Linked DNA regions of Caenorhabditis elegans. The protein of the gene in region 1 purifies or fractionates together with the protein of each later gene. This does not show direct contact. Each region holds a gene or a part of one and is shown in the gene's direction. Other genes may lie near its edges. The genes, in order: mpc-1, men-1, cox-4 and ndab-1.

Region 1 (7,143 bases):
GAATTTTCGAGGCGATCATCGTCCGATTCCAATGGATATCTCGAAACTTCCACAAATGATGAAGAATGATGTAAAACATATGAATGCGGAGCAAAGAGCAAAGTATGATTTAAATTAACAATAATTCATATTTTTTCGCTTTTTTTTGTTTTCCGAAATTTGCTAAAGTTTGAGTTTACGGGTTTTTAAAACGTAAATCGATTCAGCTTTTTCCGAGAATTTTGACCTGAAAATTATTTGGAACATTTTTTTGGCCATTCTCATCATTAAATTTCGGTCAATTTTAGAATATTTTTGTTGAACTTTATTTATTTCAGATTCCTTGGTGAAGATCGCGTGAATGCACTTGAAATTGGAGGCAAAAGTTCCAAAAAACCGACAGAACGAAGAAGTCGATGGGATATCAAGGCAAATGAAGTCGAAAAACGTGATAATGAGCGTGGTGGTGGTGAAGCAGAAGAAGATCGGGATCGACGACAACGGAATCGAATTGAATTCCCTGATGAGCCTATGCGACAAGCTCGATTTAAAGAGTTTCTTCATTATATTCGACGTGGTCTACCGTACCCTCAGCCCACTGATCTGACTGTCTGGGAGTGGGAGTGGGAAAAGAAAGAATTCGAGTCAAAATTGACATCTGACGAACGGGGAATGCTTCCAGAAGTACAATCCAGGGCTCAGCCACTTGCAAAAACTGCCATAGCAGCGCCGATTCATGAAATGATGGCTTCGAAATTTGTGAAAGAAGCTGGCGGTGATTTGAAAGTTGGAACGAAGGATGAGGATAAATTAGCCGCTGTGAAAATGGAAATGTTTGGAGAAAAAACGAGGCAAAGCTTTGATTGGTATGTTTCTAAATTGAGAATCATCTAAAACGACCGAATTTCATAATGAGATTTCTCAAAAAACAATTTCGAAAAAAGGCAAAAAAATGTATGTGCTGCAACAAGATCAAGATGACGAATATTCGGATTTTACAATATTTGGCTCTTTTTTTAGAAATTTTCTGAGAATTCTTATTATGAAATTTTTTTGTTTAGGGCTAGTTTTAGCCATTTAGTCCCTTTGAAAAATGTAGAAATTTTTAAATTTTCAGGTATCCTGACAATCTTCTCGCTAAACGATTCAATGTTCCCCATCCATATCCTGGATCAGACACTGTCGGAGTTCCAGCTCTTCAGAAGACTGATTGGAAGCGGAAAGATCGATTAGCAGATATTGGTGGAGTCTCGGCAACGTTGGGACTTCCGAACACTGCAAATGAAATTGAAATGAGGGAGCGACTTCTGAAATCGAGAGCTCAGAGAGGAGCAGAAGAGAAAAAAAGAAATCAATCAGATGATGACGATGAGAAAGAATATGATGATAAGGATTCTGATGAAGAAGAGGAAAATGAAGCCGAGCCTAACAATCAGAAGGTAGACAAAGCTCCAAAATCGTTTTTTGATTTCATTTTTGGAGATGGAGACGGTGCAGACTCAGATGAGAGTAATAGTGAAGATGAAGAAGCTGAAGAGAAGGAACGGCAAGAGATTCTGAAAAAAAGAGAAGAGGATTTGAAAAGAAGAAGGGAAATAGTTGAGAAGAAAGAGGAGGAGAACAGAAAACGAGTGGAAAAAGAATTAAAAGAATTAGAAAATAGGGATTTGCTGAGAGTTTCAAAGCAACAGGAAGATGATGATATTCAGATTATTGATGAAACTTCTGCATCTTCATTTGGTCCAGCTCTTCCTCCATCTTCAAAACCAGTTCTTTCAAAAACGGAAGTACTGAAACTTTTAGAAAAGAATATGAAGAAAAAGAAAAAGGATAAGAAGGAGAAGGAAAAGAAGAAGAAATCGAAAAAATCAAAAAAGAGCAAGAAAGAAAAGAAGACAAAGAGGAAACATTCTTCGTCTAGTGCCGACGATTCCGGTGATAATTCCGATGGATGGGAGGAGAAGAAATAATCTGAATTAAACATTTTGTTAATTTTTTTTATTTATTTATTTATTATCATATATTACTATGGTTTCGACTTGTAAAAATGAAACATAAAATTTCTCAAAGTGATGTCTGAACTATCCTTCTCCTCCCGTGTGGCTATTTGTCCCCAGTTAAATTGTCTGCATCTCTCGTTCTCTATTTCTCTCGCTTTCTATTCTCTCAAGGATTGTGAGGTTTGGTTCCTGCGAACTCGTGCACTGAGGTCACATTTTTCGAGCAGAAATGAGTTTTCAATTTCAATTTTTCAAAGATTTTAGTTTTTCAGATGCTTTCTCTGTTAAAAATTAGTACAATTTGTTTTCCATTTTTTCAGTCTGCAAATATTAACCGGCACCTTTAGAAACATTTTTTGAATTGCATTTGAAAAACCTTTTTTAATTTGAAAAATTAGAAAAATTAATTAGAAAAAAAACCCAACAAATTTTAATGCTGAAAAACTACAATTTCTAGTTTTTTTGTAGTTTTCAGCAGTAAACGCATTGGTTTTTTACATGAAATACTATAAATGTGGGATAAATTGGTAAATTAATGTTTTATACATAAAACAATTAGCGAAAATGGTTAAAAATCAAGTTTATTGGCTAAAAACAAAGCTATCCGCGATAAATTAATGCACACAGTTTTCCTCGAGGAGTACACGAGCTTCGTAAATCGACACGTTGTCTTGCCACGAAGATTTTGTTGAGTGGGATTAGGTGTGCGCCTTTAAAGAGTACTGTATTCTCAAACTTTTGTTTTTTGAGTTTTAAAAAATGTTTCATTGTTTTCTCAAATCCAACAAATAATGAGATCTCATTATTTCTTCGAATTTTTCTGTTTTTATTGTTTTACCTCAATTTTTAATTTGAAAACATATTTTTATCGAAAAGCTATGAAAAGCCGATTCATTCAACAGAAATTAGTCGTGTCGAGACCCGGTATAGTATTTTTGGAGCAAAAGTCTCATAATTTAACGGCCATGCTTCAATTTTTTTTTGAATTTAAAACCTAAAGACAATTTCTGAAAAATCAAAATTAAACCTTCTAATGGAACCAAAAAGATCAATATCATCTTTTAGCCACTGACAAAAACAATTATTTATTTTCGTTCTCTCATCCATTTTTCTCTAATTCTCTACAGAGGGTTTTCCTTATTTTATCATCATTGAACAAAAATACTGATTTGATTGCTTATCACTTTTTGTTCCTTATCAAACCCAAATATATATCGGACGTTTTTTCTTGATTTCTCACGCGATTTCAGCGAAATGAACATTTTCGAACATATTTTTAAAAAGCTTAAAACCTAAAAATTCATATTTCCAGATGTCTCGAGTTATATCAAAAGTGACGACATATTTCAAGCAACATTCCACCGCCGAATGGAAGCATTACTTCTTGTCAACTCATTTTTGGGGACCAGTGGCTAACTGGGGACTTCCGTTGGCTGCTCTTGGAGATTTGAAGGTAACTGCATTTTTTAGAGACAAGTTAGGGTGAAAAAACGTTACTTTTGTATTGGGTGTTTAAAAATTGAAAAGCGCTTTTAATCCATAGCCAGATTTGGTTTTTTTAATAAGTGCTGAAAATGTGTGTGCCTTTAAAAAGAACAGTAGTCGTAATTATGTTTTCTTGCTTTTCTAAATTTTGCAGGTTAATCAATTTTTTTCACATGAAATAAAATATATTTTCCCAAAAATTTAACAAAAAAAACTAGCAATAAAGGAATAAAAAACTGTACACCTTAAAGGCGCACACTCTGTTTTGCAAATTTTATTTTTAGTTGTGAATTTTCTGCTGAGACCTGAAAATAGCAACTTTAGTACTACTATAATTTGTCAACCTTTTCAAAAAAAGCATGCAATTTTTGAGAAACTCTTATAAAAGCTATTATTAAAAAAACACCTTTTTTCCAAAATTATTCCACAAAAAATATGTTATGAAATGCCTACACCCTCTCACACACACTCTTTATACTACTCTGTCAAACTCACGAGATGTCTGCCGCCTCTTGTGTCCCCCCTATATAAACACCTCCTATTGCGAGATGTCTTGTTCTTCCGAGAACATATACTAAAATTGGAACAATACAGAGAAGATTAGCATGGCCCCTGCGCAAGGATGACACGCAAATTCGTGAAGCGTTCCAAATTTTTTGTGAAATTTTCTATAATTTTTTTTGCAGAAAAATCCTGACATGATCAGTGGACCAATGACGTCAGCTCTTCTGATCTACTCGAGTGTTTTCATGAGATTCGCGTGGCACGTTCAACCACGAAATCTTTTGCTCTTCGCTTGCCATTTTGCCAACTTCAGTGCTCAAGGAGCTCAGGTATACTCCATAACAGCAGCTCCAGTTGATAATTTTTAATTTTTTCAGCTCGGTCGATTTGTGAACCACAACTATCTGCACTACGTTGAAGATCCCGTCCACCATAAATTGATGATGAAAAAGGAGGTTTTGGAGCACGAACACGATGCGGAAGTGATCAGCAAGGCACATTGAGCAATTTGATTAAATATATAATTTTTAGCGGGTTTCGCTCTTTTTATGGTATCCTTTTTTCGAATTTCTAGGGAATTTTAGAAAGAATAAGTTAAATAAAAATAAATTTATGATATGAACTGAAAATGTAAAGCAAAAATAGGTGTTCGAAGAAAACCGTAACTAGCGACTCGACTAGATGTCAACATTCACAGGGAGAATCATTATTTTAATGGAGCTTCAACTTCGGATTCATCCACTTTTTGAGAATCGTCAAATGGATTTTTGAGATTTTTGAGATCGATGGCAGTTCCTTCTGCACGATTTTTCAGCGAAATCAGCACATCTGCAGGGATTTCTGGAATATCCGGAGTGATTGGAGGAGGTGCGGCAAGATCGACGTCTTCATCATATTCACCACTTCGATCGAATGGATCAGAGTCCTAAAACATTTTTTTATGCGAGTACAGTGGACGATTCCAACTAACATGTCCTCCGCGTGTCTCATTCAATGTCACTTCAGCCATAGAATCTTCGTACAAGTCTGTACTTGACAGCTCATCATCGACTTCTTCTTCTTCTGGTTCACCTGCTTGAGCATCTTTTTCCATTGAAATAAGCTGTAAAATACGAATTTCTTCAAGTCTTGTTTGAAGATTTTCATAAGTAAACTCGATAAAATCGAGGAAAATTGAAAAATTGATGAAAAATAGTTAAAAATCTAACCGTGCGGCGAAATTTCGTGATTTTCAAATCAAATTCTATTTTCTTTCATTTTATCGAGTTTAGTTATCGAAATACTGCAAAAAATAATTCATTTAAGCTGATTCCATTTTTGAAAAATTACAATTTTCAGATACATAACCGGCGTTTCTCACCAATCTTTTTAATAATAAACATTTAAAAAAATGCAAAATTTATTAGAACAACACAAACAAGAAAAACAACAAATTGCGAACAAGAGAAATAACGAGGAAAAAAATTAAAGGAAATCTTGCTTGGCGACAAATTCCTTCGCATAACCATCATCAGCGATCTGGCAACTCGCGGAGCAAGTGTACACGTACACGGAAGCCCAGTCGATAGATTGACCAATAGCATCTACATCGATGAGCGACAAGAGATGTGGCATAAGCTGCATTTCGAAACGACGAGGAGCTCCACAAAGTTCACATGGTTCCACAACTTCTGGCAATTCAGAAAGGCCAGTTGCACGGAGTGGCTGTCCGTATCTCTTGTATCTAATAATCTGATCGGGTTGCAAATTGACAAGACGGTTGAATTTATCAAAATCGATATCTTTTGGTTGCTCGGCGGTGGCTTCATCCAAATCTTCCTTTGTCATGTCAGCGTTTTTCTGAAAAAGGAATTGAGAAATTTAATTGTTTTTTCCGGCGTCAAACTAACCCCTTTGTTCTCCTTGACAAATTTCTCAAATTCTCTGATTCTTGCTTTCTTCTCCTCTTCAGTCTCATCCTCATCATTTCCTTCTTCCTCTTCCTCATCGCCTTCATCATCACTAAGTCCGTCAAACAGATTTGCTGGCATATATTCCTGATCAATTTCTACACCGAATTCTTTGAAACAAAACGCATTTCTTGGATTTTTCGGTTCATCCGTTATGGAGCCATCTGTTGCCGCTTTAGCACATTCGAGCTTGTGAGCAGGCCAGTCGATGACTTGATGAGCTTGAGAGCAATATCTGAAATTGTGACATATAAGGTGTGAACAAAATTTACCAGAATTTCGTCTTTCCGGCCAGAAATACTGTAACTGGTCTCGATACGACAAATTTTTGTTAAATGCACAAAAATGTGAGCGCCTTTAAGGGGTACTGTAATTATAAATTTGCTGAATTTTCATAGATTTTCCAAAGTTTTCCGAAGATATTTGTATTAATTTTTTTAAACTTTAACAAAATAATTATATTCGAGAGAAGAAATATTAAAAGTCAATAAAAATTCCGCAGCAAGAAAATTTTGGAATTATAAGCCTAATTAGAGTACTAATTAGAGTAGGCACACGCCTTTTTGCATTTAACGGAGAATTTTTTATTCTGGACGCAACATTTTTCGTATGGGTAACTTCTCTCACCTCGCCACTTGGCACTTGGCACATTTTTTCGCAGCGGAACATCCACAGATTCGACACAATCCGGGTCCATCAGCCGGTGCACGTGGATCAGCAACATCTCCATCCAAATCAGGATCCATTGGTCCATCAAATGAATAATAATCATTGGCACGTGGAAGTTGGCATCGGAAGGCTTTCAGATTTGCGGCATCATTTGTACGAGAGCAGGATGGATTACGGCAAACGAAGAGAAATAGAGAACGATGAAAAGCGTGTGGAGGATCATTTATACCTCCATTTGCTGATACTTGCATCAGGAAACACAGTGGTTTCTCGCAGACCTTAAATTTGGGAAATTATTTGGTGGACGGTTGTAGGAAGTTTTTTGTTGCTAATTTTGAAAAAATTATAATTTCAGCTAAAATTTTTAATTTTGCAAATATTTCCGTATTGCTGTTTTATTTTCCATATTTTTGTAGTAAAATAAAACAATGATCAAATAAAATTAATTTCTGAACGCTGCAATACGGAAAAGTTGGCAAAATTGAAGATTTAGCTAAAATTAGGTCAGTTTCAAAGTTCTGTTATAAAAAACCTACGTTGCACAACAAATCTGCGGA
Region 2 (11,050 bases), on another chromosome or scaffold:
ATTAAAACGGTATTTTAACTGCAAAATTCGAGTTTTCCGTGAAATTTCACACCTGGCTGTACTTTTTTCGAGTCTGTAGGTCAATTTTGAAAATTTTCGGGTTACTGTAGCCCCGAAAGTACGCAGCGCAATGGTGTTTGCGTACCTGGCACCAAATCTGACGAAATTGCGTCTAAATTGGCTCATAATTAATTCACAGGGCAATAAAGGTACGCTGATTCTGAATTTTATATTAAAAATGCTGGGGAATATTGATTTTCCACCAGGAAATTGAAATTTTCAAAAAAAATCGTCAATTTCCTCAAATTTTCGATGATTTTTGCTGCAAAATTCGAGTTCCTCTTGAAATTTCACCCCTGGCTGTACTTTTTTGCAGTCTCTAGCTCAATTTTCACAATTCCGGGTTACTGTAGCCCCGAAAGTACGCAGCGCCTTGGTGTTTGCGTACCTGGCACCAGATTCTACGGAATTTCGTCTAAATGAGCTGAAAAATGAAGTACGGGGCTAAAAAATCATGCTGATTCTGATTTTCATATTAAAAATGTTGGAAAATTAATCGAAATGTGGAAAATTCCGATTTTTTAACGCCGAAAATACAATTTTTAGTGTTTAAAATCGAATTTTTCTCATTTTCAATACGAAATTCAGAATCAGCGTGATTTTATTGCCCTGTGAACCAATTTTCAGCTGATTTAAACAAAATGTCGTCAAATCTGGTGCCTGGTACGCAAACACCGCGGCGTTGCGTACTTTTGGCGCTACAGTAACCGAGAAAATTTCAAAATTGGGCTAAAGCCTCCAAAAAAGTACAGCCAGGGGTGAAATTTCACGGAGAACTCGAATTTTGGAGTTAAAGAGCTCGTGTAGTCCTCGAGGACAAGGTTTTCGATAAAATCCTCAATTTCGGGCAATTCTTTTCGGTATTTTAACACACAAATCGTCTTATTTATAGTTTTTCAGGCCAAAACCGAAAAAAAAACTATAAATTGTGCAGATTTTTACAAAAAAATTGTAAAAATGTATTAAAAATGGCTCATATTCAGGTTTTCCCGATAAAATCTGTTTAAAATTGCTAATAATCCGATTTTTTTTTTCGAAAATATTGTTTTTAAATAGCTAAAATTCAGCTGAATATTTCAGATTTTTCGGGAAAAATTCATTATAAACAGCCGAAATTCAGATTTTCCCCTTTAAAATCACGATTTTTCTAGGGAAAACTCAAGTCTTCTAGTCATTTTTAATGGGTTTTCCTGTTTTTTTAAATAAATTATAAATAAAGAAAAAGCCCGGAAATACTATAAAAAAGTCCTAAAAACCCCCAAAAAAATCAATAAATTCCCCAATTTGTTTTGCAGGTAAAAGTAGTGTGGGACGACAAGCAAGTCTACGACGCGTACTTCCGTGGAAAAGGACAGATGATCGAGTACACGGTCCGACTGGAAGATGGCCGAGAAGTCCGCCATCCACGGAACAGGCTGAAAACGAAGCGAGAACTGAACGCGTATCTCAAAAAATAGCTTTAATAAATAAATAAATATTCGATTTTTTAAAATTTACTATTAAATAGTCCCTGACAAAAAATTCTTGTCAAAATGTAATATATTCTCTCTTTCCCGCCCGTCTACCCTCAAATATGTGATCTCTGCGCCTCTTTTCCCCCCAGTTTTTTTTTGTACGAAAAGTCGAAGAATCTCTAATTATCCCTGTTTTTCTGTTTTTTTTCTGTATTTTTTTGTCATTTAAATATTTTTCGCTATTTTTCCCTATTATTTTGCAGAAACTTTTAAATGTTTTCCCCGAAATTGATCAATTTATCTAATAAACCTTTTTTTTTCCAAATGCCAACACACTAATCGCATTCTTATCAAATAATTCCGTCGAAAAATCAGAAAAATTGGCCAAAGATCACTTTATCCGATTTGTTGACTTCCTGTGAACACGTGTTGAGCTGACAGCTGCGTTGGGAGTGGGAAAATATTGAAAATAACCGGAAAACTCGTTCAAAATCCAGAAATTCTCTTTAAAAAACTGTTTTTTAATGAAAAAACCTTTCAAAATCCAGAAATTCTCTTTTCAAAGCTGTTTTTTAATGAAAAAACCTTTCAAAATCCAGAAATTCTCTTTAAAAAGCTATTTTTAATGAAAAAACAGTTCAAAATCCAGAAATTCTCTTTAAAAAGCTATTTTTTAATGAAAAAACCTTTCAAAATTCGAATTGGCGCCGGTGAATTGACACGGCAACTGCGTACTTTGCGGCCAATGCGCCACATTTGACGACAATTTTTCTTTATTTTTTTCATTGATTTTCGTTATTTTCTTGAGTTTTTGTCGGTTTTCGAGAGGAAAAATAAACTAATTTCTTTATTTTTTGTGGAAAATTCAAAAAATCGCATTAAAATATCTGTTTCTTCCAATTAAAACCCCAAAGATCACGGCTAATTCGATGACAAGGCCACCTTGATCGAAAAATATCGCTATAAACAAGAAAAAAACACGGGAAAACATCATTTTTCTCGCTTTTTCTCCCTCTTCCCTCCTCTCACCGCATACTTGCTCCCCCAAGCACTCATTTCGCCGCCACTCGAAGGAAAAACGATTTTCCATCTTACTTTTTGAAATAAAAATTCATTTTTTCAAGAAAAGAGTTCCGCCCGTGTTTTTGTTTTCTTTTTCTCCCTGCGTCTCTCCGCTGAGTGCAGATCTCTCGCACATAGTTTATCCCGAAAGAATACGTGGATCGATAGACGACGGGCGCCCCCATTTGTGGCTTCTCAGGCAATTGTCTCTCCAGTTTCACCGCGAGTTTTCCCGAATTTTCAGGTTTTCCATAATTTTTTCTGAATAAAAATTGATAAAATGCACTCATTTTTCTTATCAATTGTCACCGTTTTTATTTCACGTGTTTCAAAAAAAAAAGTTTTTATCGAAATTTTACATTTTTCCGTCTCATTTCAGAATCAATTCTCATTTGCTCTTGGGTTTCACAACCGTGCGGGAATCACGAAAAATGCTGAGCCGTCTTTCGCCTGCCAGGTAGGGAGGATTTTGCGTTGAAATTAGCTGAAATTCGAGAAATGTATTAAAAATGACTAAAAATTCAGATTTTCCCGGAAAAATCCATTTAAAACGGCTGAAATTCTGCTTTTCTCGGAAAAAATTTATGAAAAATGGGTGAAATTCAGATGGTCTCGGCAAAAATGCGTAAAATATCGATTTTTCTGCGAGAAATTGCAGAAATTGAAATTTTTACAGGTTTTCGTTGAAAAAGTCTACGAATTTTGACGAGTATTTAAAAAATTTGTAGATTTTTTCGATAAAAACCTATGAAAATTTCAATTTCTGCGATTTTTCTGCGATTTTGCCCAATTTTTCTTGGAAAATCTGAGTTTTAATCATTTTAAATTTATTTTTTCTAAAAAAATCTGAACTTCAGCCATTTTAAATGGTTTTCTCCGGGAAAATCTGCATTTCAGCCATTTTACTAGATTTTTTTCCGAAAAAGTCTGTATTTCTGGCATTTTGAATGAATTTTTGACATTTTTTATGGTTTTATTCCAGAAAAATCTGATTTTTAGCCGCAGTTGGTGGATTTTTCCGAAAAAATCTGAATTTCAGCCAATTTTTAATGGATTTTTTCCGGGAAAATCTAAAATTTCAACATTTTTAAAATGAATTTTCCGCCATTTTTTATGCATTTTTTCCTGGAAAATCTGATTTTAAGCCATTTGTAATCAATTTTTTTTCGGAAAAATCTGAGTTTTAGTCATTATAAATAGTTTTTTTTCTGGAAAAACAGATTTTTCGCTATTTTTAATGTATTTTTCCGGGAAAAAGTCTCAATTTGAGCCGTTTGAATGAGTTTTTCCAGGAGAAATCTGAATTTTCGCTATTTTCAATGGATTTTTTTTTGGAAAAAACTGAATTACAGCCGTTTTTAAGGGATTTTTTCCGAGAAAATCCGATTTTTAGCCATTTTTCATGAATTTTTTTCGGAGAAAATCTGAATTTCAGCCGTTTTTAATTGATTTTTCTGGGAAAGCTTGATTTTTAGCCATTTTTTATATTTAAAAAATTTGAGTTTCAGCCATTTCAAATACATTTTTTCCGTGAAAATCTACTGTTTTAGTCATTAAAAAAAATTTTTTCCAAAAAATCCGATTTTCAGCCTTTTAAATGGATTTTTCCGGGAAAATCTGAATATTTAGTCATTTTTTATGGATTTTTTTCCGGAAAATTTGAAATTTAGCCGTTTTAATGGCATTTTCCCAGAAAAATCTGAGTTTCAGCCATTTCGAATACATTTTTCCGTGAAAATCTACTTTTTAGCCATTTTAAATAGTTTTTTTTCTGGAAAATCTGAATTTTAACGATTTTAAATAAATTTTTTCCATGAAAATCTGAATTTTTAGCCATTATTTATGGATTTTTTTTTCCGAAAAATTTGAATTTCGGTCATTTTAAATGGGTTTCTCCGGGAAAATCTGAATTTTTGCCATTTTTTTCAATGAAAAACCAAAAATCCCCAAATTTCCAGCATCCGCCGTCTCTCCACATCAACACGATGCCTGAGCGACAAAAACGAGCCGGATCTCTCCGATCCCAAAACTCTGGCCCTTCACAAGCTCTACCGCCCGGAACGCACCACACCCCAGAAGCGAGGAATCGACCTGCTCAAGTCGCCCGGGCTCAATAAGGGAATGGCTTTTTCCCTCCACGAACGTCAATATCTCGGAGTTCACGGGCTTCTGCCACCCGCATTTATGACCGAAGAGCAACAAGCCTACCGTATCATCACAAAACTCCGCCAGCAACCTGACAACCTTGCCAAGTACATTCAATTGGACTCGTTGCAGGATCGTAACGAGAAGCTCTACTACCGAGTGCTCTGCGATAATGTGAAGGAGCTCATGCCAATTGTGTACACTCCTACCGTAGGACAAGCCTGTCAGCATTTCGGATTCATCTACCGTAACCCAAAGGGTCTCTACATTACTATTAATGATAATAGTATTAGTAAAATCCATCAGATTCTTGCAAATTGGCCGACAGAGAACGTCCGAGCAATTGTGATCACTGACGGAGAGCGGATCCTCGGCCTCGGCGACCTGGGAACCTATGGAATCGGAATTCCCGTTGGAAAACTTGCACTCTACGTTGCGCTCGCAGGGATTCGCCCGGAATGGTGTCTCCCGGTGATTCTCGACGTGGGAACTGATAACAGCGAGCTGCTCAACGATCCATTCTACACGGGGCTCCGTAGAAAGCGTGTTAGAGGTCCCGAATACGATACGCTCGTCGATAATTTTATGAAGGCGGCCACGAAGCGGTTCGGACGGGATACGCTGATTCAATTTGAAGATTTTGGAAATCAGAATGCGTATCGGTTGTTGGATCGGTATAAGGGAGAATATTGCATGTTTAATGATGATATTCAAGGTAGAATTTGGCAGGGGGGAAATTGAGGAAAAAAAGCGAAAAAATCGGAGAAAAAGGCTTTAAAATGCACATTTGAGAAAAAAAATTGCATTTTGGCCGAAATTTTTCAAAAAAAATCTGAATTTTCACTGTTTTCAAATATGAAATTCAGAATCAGCATACTTTTATTGCCCTGTGCGCCAATTTTCAGCTCATTTAGACGAAGAAATCTCGTAGAATCTGGTGTCTGGTACGCAAACACCGAAGCGCTGCGTACTTTCGGGGCTACAGTAACCCGGATATTTTCAAAATTGAGCTAGTAACTCGAAAAAAAAAGTACAGCCCGGGGTGAAGTTTCACGGGAAACTCGAATTTTGGAGTTTCAAAAAAATAGTGAAGCAAATTTGAGGGGATATATTCCTTTATAACTTTATATTTTAACTGCAAAATTCCGCCGTAAAAGTTTTCCGTAAAATTTCTTTACCCCTAGCCATGTAATTATTTTGGAGTCTCTAGCTCAATTTTGAAAATTTCCGGGTTACTGTAGCCTCAGAAGTACGCAGAGCTTCGGTGTTTGCGTACTTGGCACCGGATTCTACGATATTTCGTTTAAATGAGCTGAAAATTGTTAATTAAAGTATGCTGATTCTGAATTTCGGGTTGAAAATGTCGGAAAATTTCGGGAAATTTCGGATTTTTCTGGAAATTTCAATTTTTTAAAGAGAAATTTTGCTTCTTTTTTTTTTTGGGAAATTTTAATTTTTTGAAAATTTCGATTTTTTTGACCTTGAACTTGGAAATAAAAGTGAAAAATTGATTCTAAAAATAATAGTTTCCCAGGAAATTTGGATTTTTTCAATATAAAATAGGAAACAAAAAAAAAAGGTCTTTAAAAAATAGTTTTAAAAATTAAAAATTAAAAGTTCTTTTGTTTTCAGATTTCAGATTTGAAATTTTTGATTAAAAAAAAAAATTAAAAAATAGTTAGAAATAAATTTTGTAAAAAAAATTTTTTTGCAAATTTCCAGGTACCGCCGCTGTCGTCGTCGCCGGCCTGCTCGCCTCAACTCGTATCACCAAGAAGAAGCTCTCCCAGGAACGGATCGTCTTCCTCGGAGCCGGTGGAGCCGCCACCGGAGTCGCCGAAATGTGTGTCCGACAGATGATGGACGAGGGATTGTCGGAGGAAGAAGCTTGCGGTCGGATTTATATGGTTGATATTGAAGGACTCATCACGACGTCTCGTAGTAAATCTCTTGGCGAGAGACATGTGAAATTCGCTAAAGATCTTCCGGATACCAAGAATCTGCTGGAAGTTGTGAAGACTGTCAAGCCTGGAGCACTCATCGGAGCATCTACGGTGGCTGGAGCATTTACGGAGGATATTATTAAGGAAATGGCTCGGCTGAACCCGAGGCCAATCATTTTTGCACTGTCCAACCCTACAAGTAAAGCAGAATGCACTGCGGAGACGGCTTATCGCTGCACAAATGTACGGGATATGTAAATTTAGAGAAAAAACTGGAAAAATATGGAGAAAATCTGAATTTTTCAGATTTTTTGAGCTGAATTTACTGCATTTTTCATGGAAAAGTGAATTTTTAAATTCAAAAATTCGCCGTTTTTCAGATTTTTCCAATGAAAAGTTAGTTAAAAATTATTATTTTCCAGCTTTTTCATGGAAAAAAAATCAAAAATTTTTAAATCCAAATGTATAATTTTCCGGACTTTTTGTGTTAAAAATTAACCGTTTTTTTTTCAGATTTTCCATGAAAAAATGTTTTTTTTTTCAAATAAAAAACTTAAAAAATCTCAATTTTTACAATTTAGAGCCATTTTTCAATGAAAAACCTGAAAAATAGTAATTTTAAAGTCGCTTTTCAAAGAGAAATCTGGAAATCTGAAAATTTAAATTTTAAAATCTAAAATATATATCAATTTTTAGAATTTAGAGCGGTTTTAAATGAAAAATCTGGGAAAAAAGTAATTTTTAAATAGTAATAAAAATAATAACGAAAATTGGAAAAAAAAACTGGAAAAATATGGAGAAAATCTGCACTTTTTTAGTTGAGAAATGTAGAATTTGCCAATTTTCGCTTGATTTTTCATGGAAAAATTATTTTGAAATTCAAAAATTGACCGTTTTTTTTCAGATTTACCTTTTAAAAAGTGACTTTATAAATCAAAAATTAACCTTTTTTAATTGAAAATTAATATTTTCCACGGCAAAGAGAATATTTTAAATTTATTTTTCTTTAAAAAATCTGGAAAATGCCAATTTTAATTAAAAAAAAATCATTTTAAAATAATGTTTTAGTTTTTAATTTATTGAAGTCAATTTTATAATTTAAAGTTGCGTCGTTTTTTCAGATTTTTTACGGAAAAATGATTTTAAATTGAATTAAATTTTGTTTTTTAACAGAAAAATCTTTAAAAAGGTACAATTTCTTCCAATTGTAAGTTAATTTTTTCGAAGAAAATTGTGGAAAATGTCAATTTTAAAATTTATTCTTTTTAGATTTTTAGTTGAAAAAATGATTTTAGAATTTAATAAAAATTTATATTTTTCAGCTCTTTCGTGGAAAAATGATTTTAAATGGAATTAAAATTAATTTTCTATGGAAAAATTTGGAAAAATGTCAATTTTTAATCTTAAAAATCATTTTTCAATGAAAAATCTGAAAAATCAGTTATTTTTCCCTCCAAAAATACCCAATTTTTGCAGGGAGCCGTCCTCTTCGCCTCCGGATCCCCGTTCGAAAATGTCGAAATGAATGGAAAACTCTATAAGCCAGGACAGGGAAACAACGCCTACATCTTCCCGGGTGTTGCTCTCGGAGCCGTCCTCTTCCGTACCAAAAACATTCCGGACAAGCTGTTCCTTCTGGCCGCCCGTATGGTCGCCGAAGCCGTATCGGAGAAGTCGTTGAACACGTATTCACGTGTATATCCACGTCTGAAGGATATTCGAGAACTTTCGGTGAAAATTGCCGTAGAAGTTGGCGAGTATTGTTATCGACACGATTTGGCCACTTTGCACCCGAAACCCGATGATATGGTGCGGTTGTTTTTGAGTGGAAATTTGAAAAAAAAAAACGTCGGAAAATTTCGATTTTCCTGCAATTTTTAGACATTTTTTGCTGAAAAAAACATGAAAAACTGTTGAAAAATACCAAAAAAAAAAACTTTTCCCCGAAAAAAAGTGATTTTCCTCACTTTTTAATGCAAAAAATGGCCATGTGTCGATTTACGCGAATCGTGTACTCCTCGGAGAGAAAAGCAATTTTTTGAGTGGAAATTTGGAAAAAATCGGGAAAATTTCGATTTTCCTAGCATTTCAAGCTGAAAAAACATGAAAAATGGATGAAAAACATTTTTAAAAATGACAAAAAAAGACTTTTCCCCACCCGAAAAAATTGATTTTCCTCACTTTTTAATGCAAAAAATGGCCGTGTACCGATTTACGCGAGTCGTGTACTCCTCGAGGAAAAGAATAATTTTTCATGGAAAAAAGCATTTTTAGCTGAAAAACATGAAAAAATTTTGAAAAATACCTTCAAAAATGATTTTTAGACAATTTTATGCCTAAAATTGAAAAATTCTACTTATTTCTGACGATTTTTCCGAAAAAAACTGCTGAAAATATAATTTTTCACATTTTTTTTCGAATGCAAAAATATGACCGTGTGTCGATTTACGCGGTTCGTGTACTCCCCGAGGAGAATTTCCGAATTTACTATTCGAATTGCTCATTTTCATAGGTTTTTTTCCGGTGAAAGTACGATTTTTCTGGTTTCTAGTGCATTTTCAGCAGTAAATTCATTTATTTTCACTAAAAACTTTAAAAAATCAATAAATTAGGTGATTTAAATCGTTAAAAATCAAAAAATCAGCAAAAATGGACTACTTTTAGCCTAAAACGTGAATTTCCTTGCAAAAACAACGCAAACTTCTCCTCGGGGAGTACACACGAGCCGCAGATTAATCGACACTGCAAAATTCGAGTTCCTCGTAAAATTTCGCCCCTAGTCGTCTTTTTTTTGGAGTCTCTAGCTCAATTTTGAAAATTTCCGGGTTACTGTAGCCTCAGAAGTACGCAGAGCTTCGGTGTTTGCGTACTTGGCACCGGATTCTACGATATTTCGTTTAAATGAGCTGAAAATTGTTAATTAAAGTATGCTGATTCTGAATTTCGGGTTGAAAATGTCGGGAAATTTCGGGAAATTTCGGATTTTTCTGGAAATTTCAATTTTTTAAAGAGAAATTTTGCTTCTTTTTTTTTTTGGGAAATTTTAATTTTTTGAAAATTTCGATTTTTTTGACCTTGAACTTGGAAATAAAAGTGAAAAATTGATTCTAAAAATAATAGTTTCCCCTAAAAATTGTCAAAAATCTTAAAATTTTTCAAATATTTTGGAATTTTTTGAGAAATTTCAATTTTTAACCCGAAATTTCCGAAAAAAATCTCAAAAAAAAGGAAAATGAGAAGTTAAAAAACGCAATTTTCCCCTAAAAAATTGTCAAAAATTTTGGGATTTTTTGAGAATTTTTAATTAATTTTTAACTAGCAATTTCTCAAAAAATTTGTTAAAAAATTTCGTAAAATTGGTTAAAAGTTTGTGCTTTTTTTTCAGTTTTAAATTTATAAAAAATTTGAATTTTTCCAGGAAATGTTCATTCGCCAGAACCTGTACAGTGTTGAGTATGATGAGCTGATCAATAAGACTTACGAATGGCCAGCCAAGGATTCGAAACACGGTTTCCCGGTTCCAGTGTTGAGAAGAACCTCGATGGACGAGGAATAATCTTTTATTTTATCGTTTTTTTTCCCAATTTTTTTCGCATTTTTCTCTAGTCTCTCTCTCCATCTCTCTTTCCCGCGTAAATACACCCTATTTTACCTTTTTACCCCTAAAAATTCATTTTTTTTTCACAAAGTTCTTAATGTCTACGTGTATAGCATAATCCTATGGATTTTTAGATTATACAAAAATTTAATTATATAAATTTACATGTAAATTTAGCTTGTTAGGGCATTTTTCCAGTTTTTTTTTGTTCCTGTTGGATTTCCAGATTTTTGCCGCTTTTTTTGGTCACTCCGTTTTCCAGCAATTTTTCAGATTTTTTGCCACCAGAATGAGCCAAGACGATGGAGCAGCGGAGGCGGAGGCGACGGTCCGAGTTCCGATGAACATTGCACTTGTCAAGTATTGGGGAAAACGAGATGATCTACTCATTCTGCCGCTCAATGATTCGATTTCACTGACCGTGGATCGGCTGACGGCGGAGACGACAATTCGGATGGTTCCTGGAGTTGGGAAGCATACGGTAGCGCGGAATTTTGGAGCGGGAAATTTTTTTTGTTGAAAAATCTGGTTTCCATGAAAAATATCGAAAAATTTGAGAAAAAATGACTTTTTTCCCTCAAAAAATGCCATAAATATTACCCAAAAAAGCGAAGTTTGCTATTTTTGCGCAAAAAATACGGTACCCCGAGTCTCGAAACGACCGAATTTTTGTTAAATGCAAAATGCAAAGATGTGATGCGCCTTTAAAGATACTGTAGTTTCAGAATTTTTTAAAATTGATTTTTCATAGTTTTCCGCTAGGGAAAATCAATAAATTCTGATTTGAA
Region 3 (6,910 bases), on another chromosome or scaffold:
GCTTAAAAATAGCGGAGTGTCGTTGCGTCGTTGTTTATTTTTGTGCGATCGTATTTTTTCTATAATAATTTCTCGAGTTTTTGAAGAATATATTCGAAAAAAACTTTAAAAGTGAATGAAAAAAGAATTGTTTAACCAGATTTTCAATAAAATTATTCATTTTTGTATTCCAGTATACCAGAAATTACGATAAATATTATTTAAACGTGCGTAACTTTGCGAATAAGAAATAAAACAAGTAGCAGTCAAGATAATAATATCCGTGGAAGCCGCCAAACGGATATTCGCAATTTCGGATATTAGTGAAAAACTCGGATAACGGCTACTTCGGATAAAAATATCCGAAATATTCGATCGGCTGATTCGGATATTTCGGATAATATCCGCCCACTGCTGATCGCAGTTCAAATAAAGCTTAGTCAGTTGGAGTTCCACTGCGTCTTAGTTGGAGTTCCACTGTTCCACTGCGTCGTTGCTTATTTTTGTGCGATCGTGTTTTTCTGATAATATCTTGGAACTTTTAAGAGATCAATTTGGCTTCAGTTGTTTTTCATACTTCCAACGTCAATTCTCATTGATTTTGTATACATTCTCTTGAAAAATACGATTGTTTGTTAAGAGATCGCATAAAAATCTACCAGTCTTTTAGAGACCACGTCAGTCCTTCTGATGGAGTCGATTCTCGATCGTTACTTAGAGCAAAAAAAGCTCTACGAACAAAATGGGTTCAACTTCGAAAATGTCGAAGACCTGGTTATTCGGAATGCTGTATCTGGCAACATACAAGACTTACCCGGTCATCCAAACATCACAGTGAGTTGTCTAGGCACCGTTAAATCAAACATGGTATTTTTAGTCACTGGAAATTTCGAACGTCAAAATCGCAACATTCCGAGGAATGAATGTTTTTGAGCGTGTTCAAGTTCTCGATGCTTCCTCAAACAATCTTAGAGAAGCGGATTTTGAGCAACTTAGGACCAGCTGCCCATCGTTGACGACATTGACACTGAACTACAATCCACTCAATCGATCGAATCATTCCCCTCCGAGAGTTCCCCAATCTGGCTTCTTTGACAATCCATTGCACACTTATCGATGATAGGACTCCACAGGAAAATGCAGCCCGAGTATTTCAAGTACTGCTGCAGCCCAATCTCGAGGTTAACGAGTTCCGTAGAGCCGACGTTGAAGCCGAGATCTTGATTCTCAATCGAGATGAGCCTCGTGGGCCTGATGGGATGCGTATTGGACGCGGAGGACGCGGTGGACGCGGAGATCGGGGCGGATATTTTCAAGAGTAGAAGCTCGATTAATTTGCCCCTCTTAAAATTATCATTTTTTCATTCCTCGTTTTTTTAATTGTATAATCTTAAATTTTTCCGATCTTCAGATCTCCCACATCAATTGATTTCACAATTTTCTCGTTGTATAGTAAAAGATTTCAATATCTACTTCAACTGCTTCAAAATTCGAATAGAGGAACACTTCTTCGATTTTTTATCCGTTGGATTGTAGTATTACTCGATATCCGCACGTTTCATCAAAATTTCGAGTCTGACGAAGATCTGAATTAGTACACTGCAACTTTTTCCTCACGAGGGACGAGGAAAAGTTTTTTCCCGTTTTTTCTTATTAAAACTGATAAATAAATACTTTTTGCAGATGCTAAAACAATTTCCAAGTAAAAAAATTATGTTTTCAGTCGGCAAGCAGCGTGAAAGTGGTCAATGCAATATGATGGATTACGGGAATACAAAACCCAAACTTTTTCCCAAACATGATACATATGATGCTTAGATGCTGACATTACCTGATTTTCATAACGAGACCGCTGAAAAAGTTTTGAGGTTTCCAAAATTCAACTTTTTGTGCGAAAATCTCGACTTTTTCAGCGGTCTCGTTATGAAAATCAGGTAGTCTCAGCATTTAAGCAGCATATGTATCATGTTTCAGAAAAAGTTTAGGTTTTGTATTCCCGTAATCCATCATATTACAATGCCCACTTTCACCGCTGCTTGCCCACTGAATACATGATTTTTTTACTTGGAAATTGTTTTAGCATCTGCAAAAAATATTTATTTATCAGTTTTATTAAGAAAAAACGGGAAAAAGCTGTGAAAAACGAAAGAAAACACGCGGAAAAAAAGCAAGATAAATGGCCGCTGAAACTTGTCGGCCCCTCGGCCATGGCCTAGAAACCACTTTTCCTCGTCCCTCGTGAGGAAAAAGTTGCAGTGTTGGGGTAAAAAACTACGCTGAGCTCGATTTTCAGCTTTTTTGGGGTCTAAAAGCTGCTCTAAAAGCCTAAAAGCCTTAGTTTTAGCTAAAAATCCCAAATATTGTACCTTCAGAGCCCACAACATAATCCATATTCTCAGGATTCCGTCCACATTGCCCAAAATTATTATCACCAATCGCAAAAACGCCCAAATTGGTTCGAATCAGCGAGTGCGCTCTACCGGACGAAATCTCGAGAATTTCGTCGCCGGGAATATTGATTTTCTTTGCGGATATATAATAATCCTGATATTTGTTGATATTCGTCAATTGGCCACCGATCTGGAAGCTAAATTCGTGATTTTTGAGGGTTTTTTGGTATTTTTTACAATTATTAGGGAAAAAAAATCAATAAAAACAGCTGTTTTTTTTTTGATTTTTCGCTGAAAAATCGATTTTTTAGAGCACTTTTTCGTAAAAAAATGGCTTTTTTTTGGCGAAAAACATGAAATTTCTCAAATTTTTCAGAAAAATTGTTTAAAATAGGTAGATTTTTAAATTTTGAGAATTTTCTGTGAGAAATTAGAAAAAAAGGGTTTTGGGAAGAAATTATCGAATTTTCGTTGTTTTTTCTCGGAAAAGTCGGGATTTTTGAGGATTTTCAGTGAAAAACTGCTAAAAATCTGCTTTTTGAAGCTTTTTGGCAACGTTTTATCGATTTTTCGGAAAAATAATGAGAAACCCCCTAATTTTTGTATTTTTATTCAATTTTTCAATGAAAAATCGTATTTTTTCCAATTTTTTTGGGAAAACTCATTTAAAAACGCAATAAAACTGATTTTTTCGATTTTTTTCCAGTTTCTTGAGTTTTTTAATCGATTTTTCAGATTCTTCCGCTCATCTTGACAAATTTAAAGCCCTTTTTCAGAAAAATCCAGCGTTTTTCAGAGTTTTTGGGCCAAAATCGCCAATTTATCGATTTTTCCAGAGAATTTCCTGCGAAAATCCCACCGATTATTAATTCCAGCACCGTAGAGGCGATTTTTCGACGCAAAAAGCGAAAATCCAAAGCCTGAGCTTATAAATTTTTTTATAAAAAGTTTTTCTCAATTTTTCACCCAAAAGATTCAAAAAGCAAGAGCGCTCTATTGGACTCAATTGGCTGCGTACTTGAACGCGTGTAAAACGTTGATTACTCAGTCAACACGATTTACGGAGTGAACAGCCCGCAACGGCGAGCCGTTGTTACATTGCCAATTTATTGATTTTTCTGGAGATTTTGCCAAGTTTTATGCAAAAATTAAAAGGAACCACATATTTCCATCGTTTGTTCGTATTCCGGCTAGTTTAATCCTTAAAACACGAAGAGAGAACGGTTTTTGATTATTAATATATTGCACCCGTGTGTTCTGTTGTTTGTTCGTTTCTGACTAAAACTATCCTCTTCCACGTTTCCATCGGTGTTTTCCGTCGGCCACTTTAGAAATTACTTTAGAAATTCATTTTTATTATGAAAATAGTTCATTTGAGTATGTTTTTTTCATTTCTCCACACTGACGCCGGATTTACCTTTTGTTTTTTGGTTTTTCCTGCATTTTCAACCCATAAACCAGTTATTTATTTCAGGTATGTTGGCTCGTCAAATGATGCTGCCACGTTTGGCTCTCCGCGCAGTGCACACCACCGCCCGTCTGTCCGGAGGACAGGAATTCTACTGGGGACCCGATAAGGCCGCTGGACGCGAGCTCGTCGGATACGGAGCAAATGGAGATAACGTACGCCTTGTTTATTTTATAAATTTTAAATTTAATTAATTTATTTTTCAGATCTACCAAGATCGTCTCGACTACTGGTATCCAGCTATTCGATTCCGCAAGGAGGACAGTGTGATTGCCCCAATTCGCGCCAAGGAGCAAGCCGACTGGAAGAACTTGTCTGCTGAGGAGAAGAAGCTCTGTTAGTATTCAATTTTCCTCGACAAACTTGAAAATGTTGCTAAGTTTTCAGTGTACCGCTACAGCTTCCGTCAAACGCTGTCCGAATTCGAGGCTCCAACCGGATACTGGAAGGTGATCTCCGCCGTTATCCTCTCCGTGCTCGGACTTTGCACCTATTATGCTGTTCTTCTCAACGTCTGCGTGTACCCAGAACTGCCGCCAACCTTCCAGAACGAGTACAAGGAGGCTCAGGTTGAGCGTGCGCTTGTGCTCGAGAAGGGACAATTCCTCGGTGCACCGACACACTACGATTACGAGAACAAGAAGTGGAAGTAAAATATAGAGATTCAGCAGAAATAAAATAAAATTTTTTTGTAGCTTCTTTCTCGTTTTTATAATTCTCTCTTGGTTGTCGTCGCTCCCCCCGCCCCATCACTCTCTCGTCAAACATTCAAGCTTACCTTCTTCTTCATCGCCCCAACCCTCATCTGAAACCTAGATAAGCTGTAAATCTCTCCTAGCGGTCGAACGCACTGACCAATTCTTTCGTCTCCCCCAATTTTTTCTTCAAATTTTCCAAGTGGTTCGGCTTCTTGAGAGATGGGCTGCCCTGTAAACCAGAAATAAATAGATTGAATGTTGCTGTTAAATCCAGGAGGCAATAATTTATTTATTTCTTTACAAAAGTGAAATTTTAGTTTGACACTCGGAGATAGCGGGTAGTAGCGAGGAAAATGGTTCGGGTTGGGGAGAATCTGATTTAAATTGTGACATTTTCAGGATTTTCGTCATTAAGTGATCCGATTTTTGCGATGCGTCCGATTCGTTTCCATCGGTTTCTGGAAGTTGAGCAGTTGAAATTGTGGAAGCACTTTTCGATAGACTGGATGGCTTCCCAACTCGCTTGATCTTCCCGAACAGTGCACCCATCGCAGCCATCGATTTTCTATGAACCGACATTTGAGGGATCTGAAACTTCTAATTCTAGATTTTGAAAATCTCAAGCCACCCAAACCGTAATCTTTGCCACCGGAACAACTGAACCTTCAGCGCCAGTCAGCATATTCCTGCCAACCTGAATCTGCTCAGCGACCGACGAAATATACTCATTGGCTTCTTCCAAGGATTTCAGACGGATTGCAGTATTATTAAATAACCGAACAGTAGATGGCCTCCAAATGAATACACCTTCGAGAGTTTCCAGTCGAGCACATTGTCGATTATTTCCAGATGTTCCTGTTTGAATAGTATTGATATCTTCCAGCGCAACGATTTGCACATCAGTCATCTTTTCTCCATCGATTTCATAGGTTACAATATACAAATTGGAGCGGGTTAATATGACGACTGTGTCGATTTCATCGCTACTTTGGAATGCGTTAATCAATCCCCAGCCAGCGATGACAGTTTGCTGGGTTGGAACCAGGAATTGTATGGTTTCAGTCACCATTCGACTGATATTCTCTTCTTCTTCCTTCTCATTTTCCTCTTCTTCTGCATTTTCGTCGGCTTCCGTTTGTCCTGTCACTATATTGATGGCTTTTTGGCGTTGAGCATCTTTGGTGTGTGTTAGGTAGTATCTGAAAACGGAAAATTGTGTAGTTTGTAGTGTGAGAATGTTTTTGAATTAGAAAAAATGTATTGAAAATGAACATTTGAGGCGGAAATTGACATTCGGTTGAGGATGAGAGACTACAAACTACAAAATTTGGGTGAGGCTACAAGATTCTGTAGTTTGTAGTGTGAATTTTGTGCTTTTTTATTTTCTTGAATTGTAAAAAAGTGTATTGAAAATGAACATTTGAGGCGGAAATTGATATTTGGTTGAGGCAGAGACTTGGTTGAGGCTACGAGATTCTGTAGTTTGTAGTGTGAGCCTCAACCAATATTCCTAGTGATTTTCTGGTGTTTTTAACTCGGAAAACTATTTAATGCTTATTTTTTTAGGGCAGAAATACTTTTTTTAGTTTAAAGTTTCAGGTTTTTAGAACAAAAATCGATTTTTCCAGCCAAATTTGTTATTTTTTCTTTCAAAAATACTCGATTCAAGGAAAAAAATGTGATTTTTTACCGAAAAATTCGAAAAAAATAACTTATGATCAACTTTGGTGAGGCTCACAAAGAGTGTAGTTTGTAGTGTTAGCCTCACCCAAAACTAATTTTCTGGTTGAGGCTGTCAGAATTCTGTAGTTTGTAGTGTGAGCCTCAACCAAGTCGATTTTAATCGAATTTTCGCCATTTTTTCTAGCTTCCCGTACCTCGATGCACTATTATATCCATCTTTCATGACCCCCATCAGCTTCCGCTCTCCATTCCTCGTCACATCTCCCTTCAGCGCGGCGGTTCCGGCGTATTGCGTCGATATCACATCTCCATTATCAGCCCACATCGTTTGCATCGTCTGTACGAGCACTTCGGGCGGTTCGCACAGCGGTCCGAAGATTCCGAGGCGTTGAGCCTGCTGTAACACTACAAACAGGGAGATTTGGCCCTGAACAAGATTCGTTCGGTCCAGACAGTCGATACAGTTGGTTCGGACGACGCCTTTTTGGGATTGAACCACTTCTCCGGTTTTGTCGACCCAGCAGAAGCCAATGGTTTTCAGTGTTTCTTCCATTGAGGAGATAAGCGTTTGGAGCTGGAATTTGGAACGTTTTTTAGAAAAAAAATGTTTTAAAAATTAACATTTGAGGCGGAAATTGACATTTGGTTGAGGCTGAGAGACTACAAACTACAAAATTTGGGTGAGGCTACAA
Region 4 (2,619 bases), 7.5 Mb from region 1:
GACCAGCGAATCCGCTGAAAAGGCTTGAGCCTCCAGTGGAGCTTGAGCCAAATGATAATGGTTGAGTGGCGGTGGTGGTGGTGGAGGCAGAGCTTGATCCAAATAATGAAGCTGCCGTGGAAAGAGCCGAGAAAGGTTTTGGAGCCGATGTGGTAGAGTCTGCGGAGCTTCCTCCGAACACCAGAGGCTTAGAAGGACTGGCTCCGAATAGAGAGCTAGCTGGTTTCGGCAAATCTGCTTCTTTTGGTGAGCCAAATGTCAATTTTGGTGTGGAATCCGCAGCTTTTGGCTCTTCGGAAGGCTCGGCGGGCTTCTTTCCGAACGAGAATCCACTGAATTTTGGAGTTTCCTTCGGCTTGTCGCCACTGAAATTTTGATATATTGGTGGGTTTTTTTTAATAGAAAATAGTCTGAAATTGCTATTTTTGCAAAAAAGCCGACATTTTCGATTTCTAGTTGGAAAAAACAATTTTTCAGCGTAAAATGTAGCATTCTCACCACGAAAATGCTATTTTTTATGTGGCAAAATGTTAGAAAATTCAATTTTAATGAATTTTTTCCAATTTCGATTATATATATACTAACTCTTTTCCCAAAAATGCGAAAAGTGAGCCTGAATTACTCGGAGCCGCCGGCGCATCAGACTTTTTCGTCCAGAAATCCTTGGTGGGCTCCGGAAATTTGATCGTCGTAGCCGGAATCTTCACACTCGACGTGGCGGCTTGTCCGTCTTCGCCCGATTTGAAAACCACTGATTCAGCTCCACCGAGAGGTCCTCCGCCACGAATCGCGCGTTTTCGGGCGGTCGCTGGAGCTGCTGGAGCAACGAGTGGCTCTGCGGTTTTTGCGAGTGGAGCTGGCGTTTCCTTGGTTATCACTGAAATGTCGCCAAACTTGGGCACAGACGCGACTGTCGCCGCCGGGCTCGAGGCAGCGAAAACTGTAGAATTCAGCGGATTTTTTGGCGTTCCATTCTTCCGCACAGCTTTGGCTATTTTCCGCGGAGCAACTGTTTCTCCAGAACTTTCAGACGAGTTTTCGGTTCGTCTGGGCACTGTCATATCGGCTGCAACGTCATCATCGACCTTATAAATCTGCTTGAGCTGTGCCACATGATCCATATATGATTTCATAGTTCCAGACTGAAAGATTAGATCTTTAATTAGACATAAAAAAAAGGTTTTAAACCTTAAACTTACAAAATCATAATGATTCTTTTCCGTGAAATATCCGTTGATGACTTTGAGAAATTCTGCATTCAGGAGGCTCATTTTGTCGCGGAGCCGGAACATGTTCATTTGTTGCTCAGAAGTTGGCGGTGGAATTAGGGAATTCATCACGAATCTGAACGAAAATCTGTTTTTTAATTTGAATTCGCAAGACTGTGCAATGTGACGTGACGGTGTTTGCGTACTCGGCATCAAACCCGACGACGCTTGCGGGCGTTTCTTTTTATTTTTCACTTATTTTTCAGGCTCGATGAGTCATTTCCCGATTTCCCGTCAAATTTTTTTCGAATTTCGGTTCGAAAAATTATTATTAATTATTTATTTGTTCAGAAATGTTGCGAGTCGCCGTTTCCGCTGCTCTCCGCACTGTTTCAGTGCGTGCACTGAGCAATGCGTCCGTCCAACAACGAGTCATCACCCCAATACTCCTCTCCGCACAGAAACCAAGCTTCCAAATCAGACAATACTCTGCAAAGGTGGGAATTAACAAAAAAAAAATATTTTTTCGCAAAAAGAAAACAACATTTTCCAGGCTCCACTGACCAAAAAGACACTCGAGGAGCGAATTGTGTTGGTTCTCTCACTCTACGACAAAATCGACGCGAAGAAGCTCACAATGGACTCGGATTTCTCGAAAGATCTCGGCCTCGACTCTCTGGATCACGTAGAAGTTGTGATGGCGATGGAGGAAGAGTTTGGATTCGAGATTCCCGACGGAGATGCGGATCGCTTCAAGACGCCACGCGACATCTTCCAGTACATCGCCGACAAGGAAGACGTTTTCGAATAATTTTTGTATTTCTTTATCTTTTTAGCTGCAGTAGAAATATTTTCTATTATCATTTTTTTTTGTTTTTCGGATTTTTTTTCAAAAATAAAAGTTTGAAATTCATTTAATAATTTTCGCGTTGATAAAAAGTTAATTTCTTTCTGATATACTTTTCTCAAAGGCGCACAGATTTAGGGGTCTCGACGCGAAAGTTTATGGTAGCCGCTTTTTTAGTGCATTTTTCCAGAATTTTGGCGTTTTTCTTTCTTTTTTTTTGTTGAAATTTGTTTTTCAAGTCGAAAAACAGGAGAAACACAAATTTTTAATGAGAAAACTAAAAAAAAAAACGTTTTTGCAGCGAATTTCGTTATTTTTTCTTGTTAAAAATTGATTTAAACCAGTTTTTTTCGTTTTTCAGTTCAAAAAACAGAAAAATCACAAATTTTTGAGCAAAAAAAACTGATTTAGAACAATTTTTTCATTACAATTTTAAAAAAAGTGTTTTTGTTTACATTTTAGCAAATTTTATAGGTGTTTTTCTGTCGAATTATGTTTTTTTTTCAGGTCGACAATCTATACAAACCGATTTGAATCAGTTTTTAACAAAAAAAATCAAGAAAA

Evidence for each region.
Region 2: the proteins of mpc-1 (region 1) and men-1 fractionate together in Caenorhabditis elegans (co-fractionation; one large-scale study listed by BioGRID). This does not show direct contact.
Region 3: the proteins of mpc-1 (region 1) and cox-4 fractionate together in Caenorhabditis elegans (co-fractionation; one large-scale study listed by BioGRID). This does not show direct contact.
Region 4: the proteins of mpc-1 (region 1) and ndab-1 fractionate together in Caenorhabditis elegans (co-fractionation; one large-scale study listed by BioGRID). This does not show direct contact.

Annotation. Positions count from the first base shown.
Region 1 is NC_003281.10:4,410,166-4,417,308, forward strand, and holds mpc-1 (putative mitochondrial pyruvate carrier 1), read left to right. Parts: upstream 1-3,291; coding exon 3,292-3,432; intron 3,433-4,019; exon of another isoform or gene 4,020-4,121; intron 4,122-4,150; coding exon 4,151-4,297; intron 4,298-4,345; coding exon 4,346-4,471; 3' UTR 4,472-4,583; downstream 4,584-7,143. Other genes in the region: gpch-1 (G patch domain-containing protein 1 homolog), read left to right, coding at 1-102, 318-845, 1,097-1,949; R07E5.11 (Intraflagellar transport protein 46 homolog), read right to left, coding at 4,675-4,893, 4,939-5,061; pdcd-2 (MYND-type domain-containing protein), read right to left, coding at 5,433-5,807, 5,858-6,152, 6,545-6,864, 7,123-7,143.
Region 2 is NC_003280.10:14,225,761-14,236,810, reverse strand, and holds men-1 (Malic enzyme), read left to right. Parts: upstream 1-2,955; 5' UTR 2,956-3,007; coding exon 3,008-3,033; intron 3,034-4,534; coding exon 4,535-5,436; intron 5,437-6,443; coding exon 6,444-6,907; intron 6,908-8,140; coding exon 8,141-8,473; intron 8,474-10,082; coding exon 10,083-10,220; 3' UTR 10,221-10,434; downstream 10,435-11,050. Other genes in the region: jmjd-2 (Lysine-specific demethylase 4), read left to right, coding at 1,356-1,517; Y48B6A.13 (Diphosphomevalonate decarboxylase), read left to right, coding at 10,552-10,743.
Region 3 is NC_003279.8:13,656,062-13,662,971, reverse strand, and holds cox-4 (Cytochrome c oxidase subunit 4), read left to right. Parts: upstream 1-3,843; 5' UTR 3,844-3,860; coding exon 3,861-3,992; intron 3,993-4,043; coding exon 4,044-4,173; intron 4,174-4,224; coding exon 4,225-4,490; 3' UTR 4,491-4,801; downstream 4,802-6,910. Other genes in the region: W09C5.12 (Leucine Rich repeat-containing domain protein), read left to right, coding at 670-813, 857-1,099; sac-2 (SAC domain-containing protein), read right to left, coding at 4,833-5,123, 5,170-5,734, 6,413-6,792.
Region 4 is NC_003281.10:11,914,653-11,917,271, reverse strand, and holds ndab-1 (Acyl carrier protein), read left to right. Parts: upstream 1-1,559; 5' UTR 1,560-1,561; coding exon 1,562-1,705; intron 1,706-1,761; coding exon 1,762-2,019; 3' UTR 2,020-2,119; downstream 2,120-2,619. Other genes in the region: Nuclear pore complex protein npp-16, read right to left, coding at 1-365, 586-1,142, 1,200-1,337.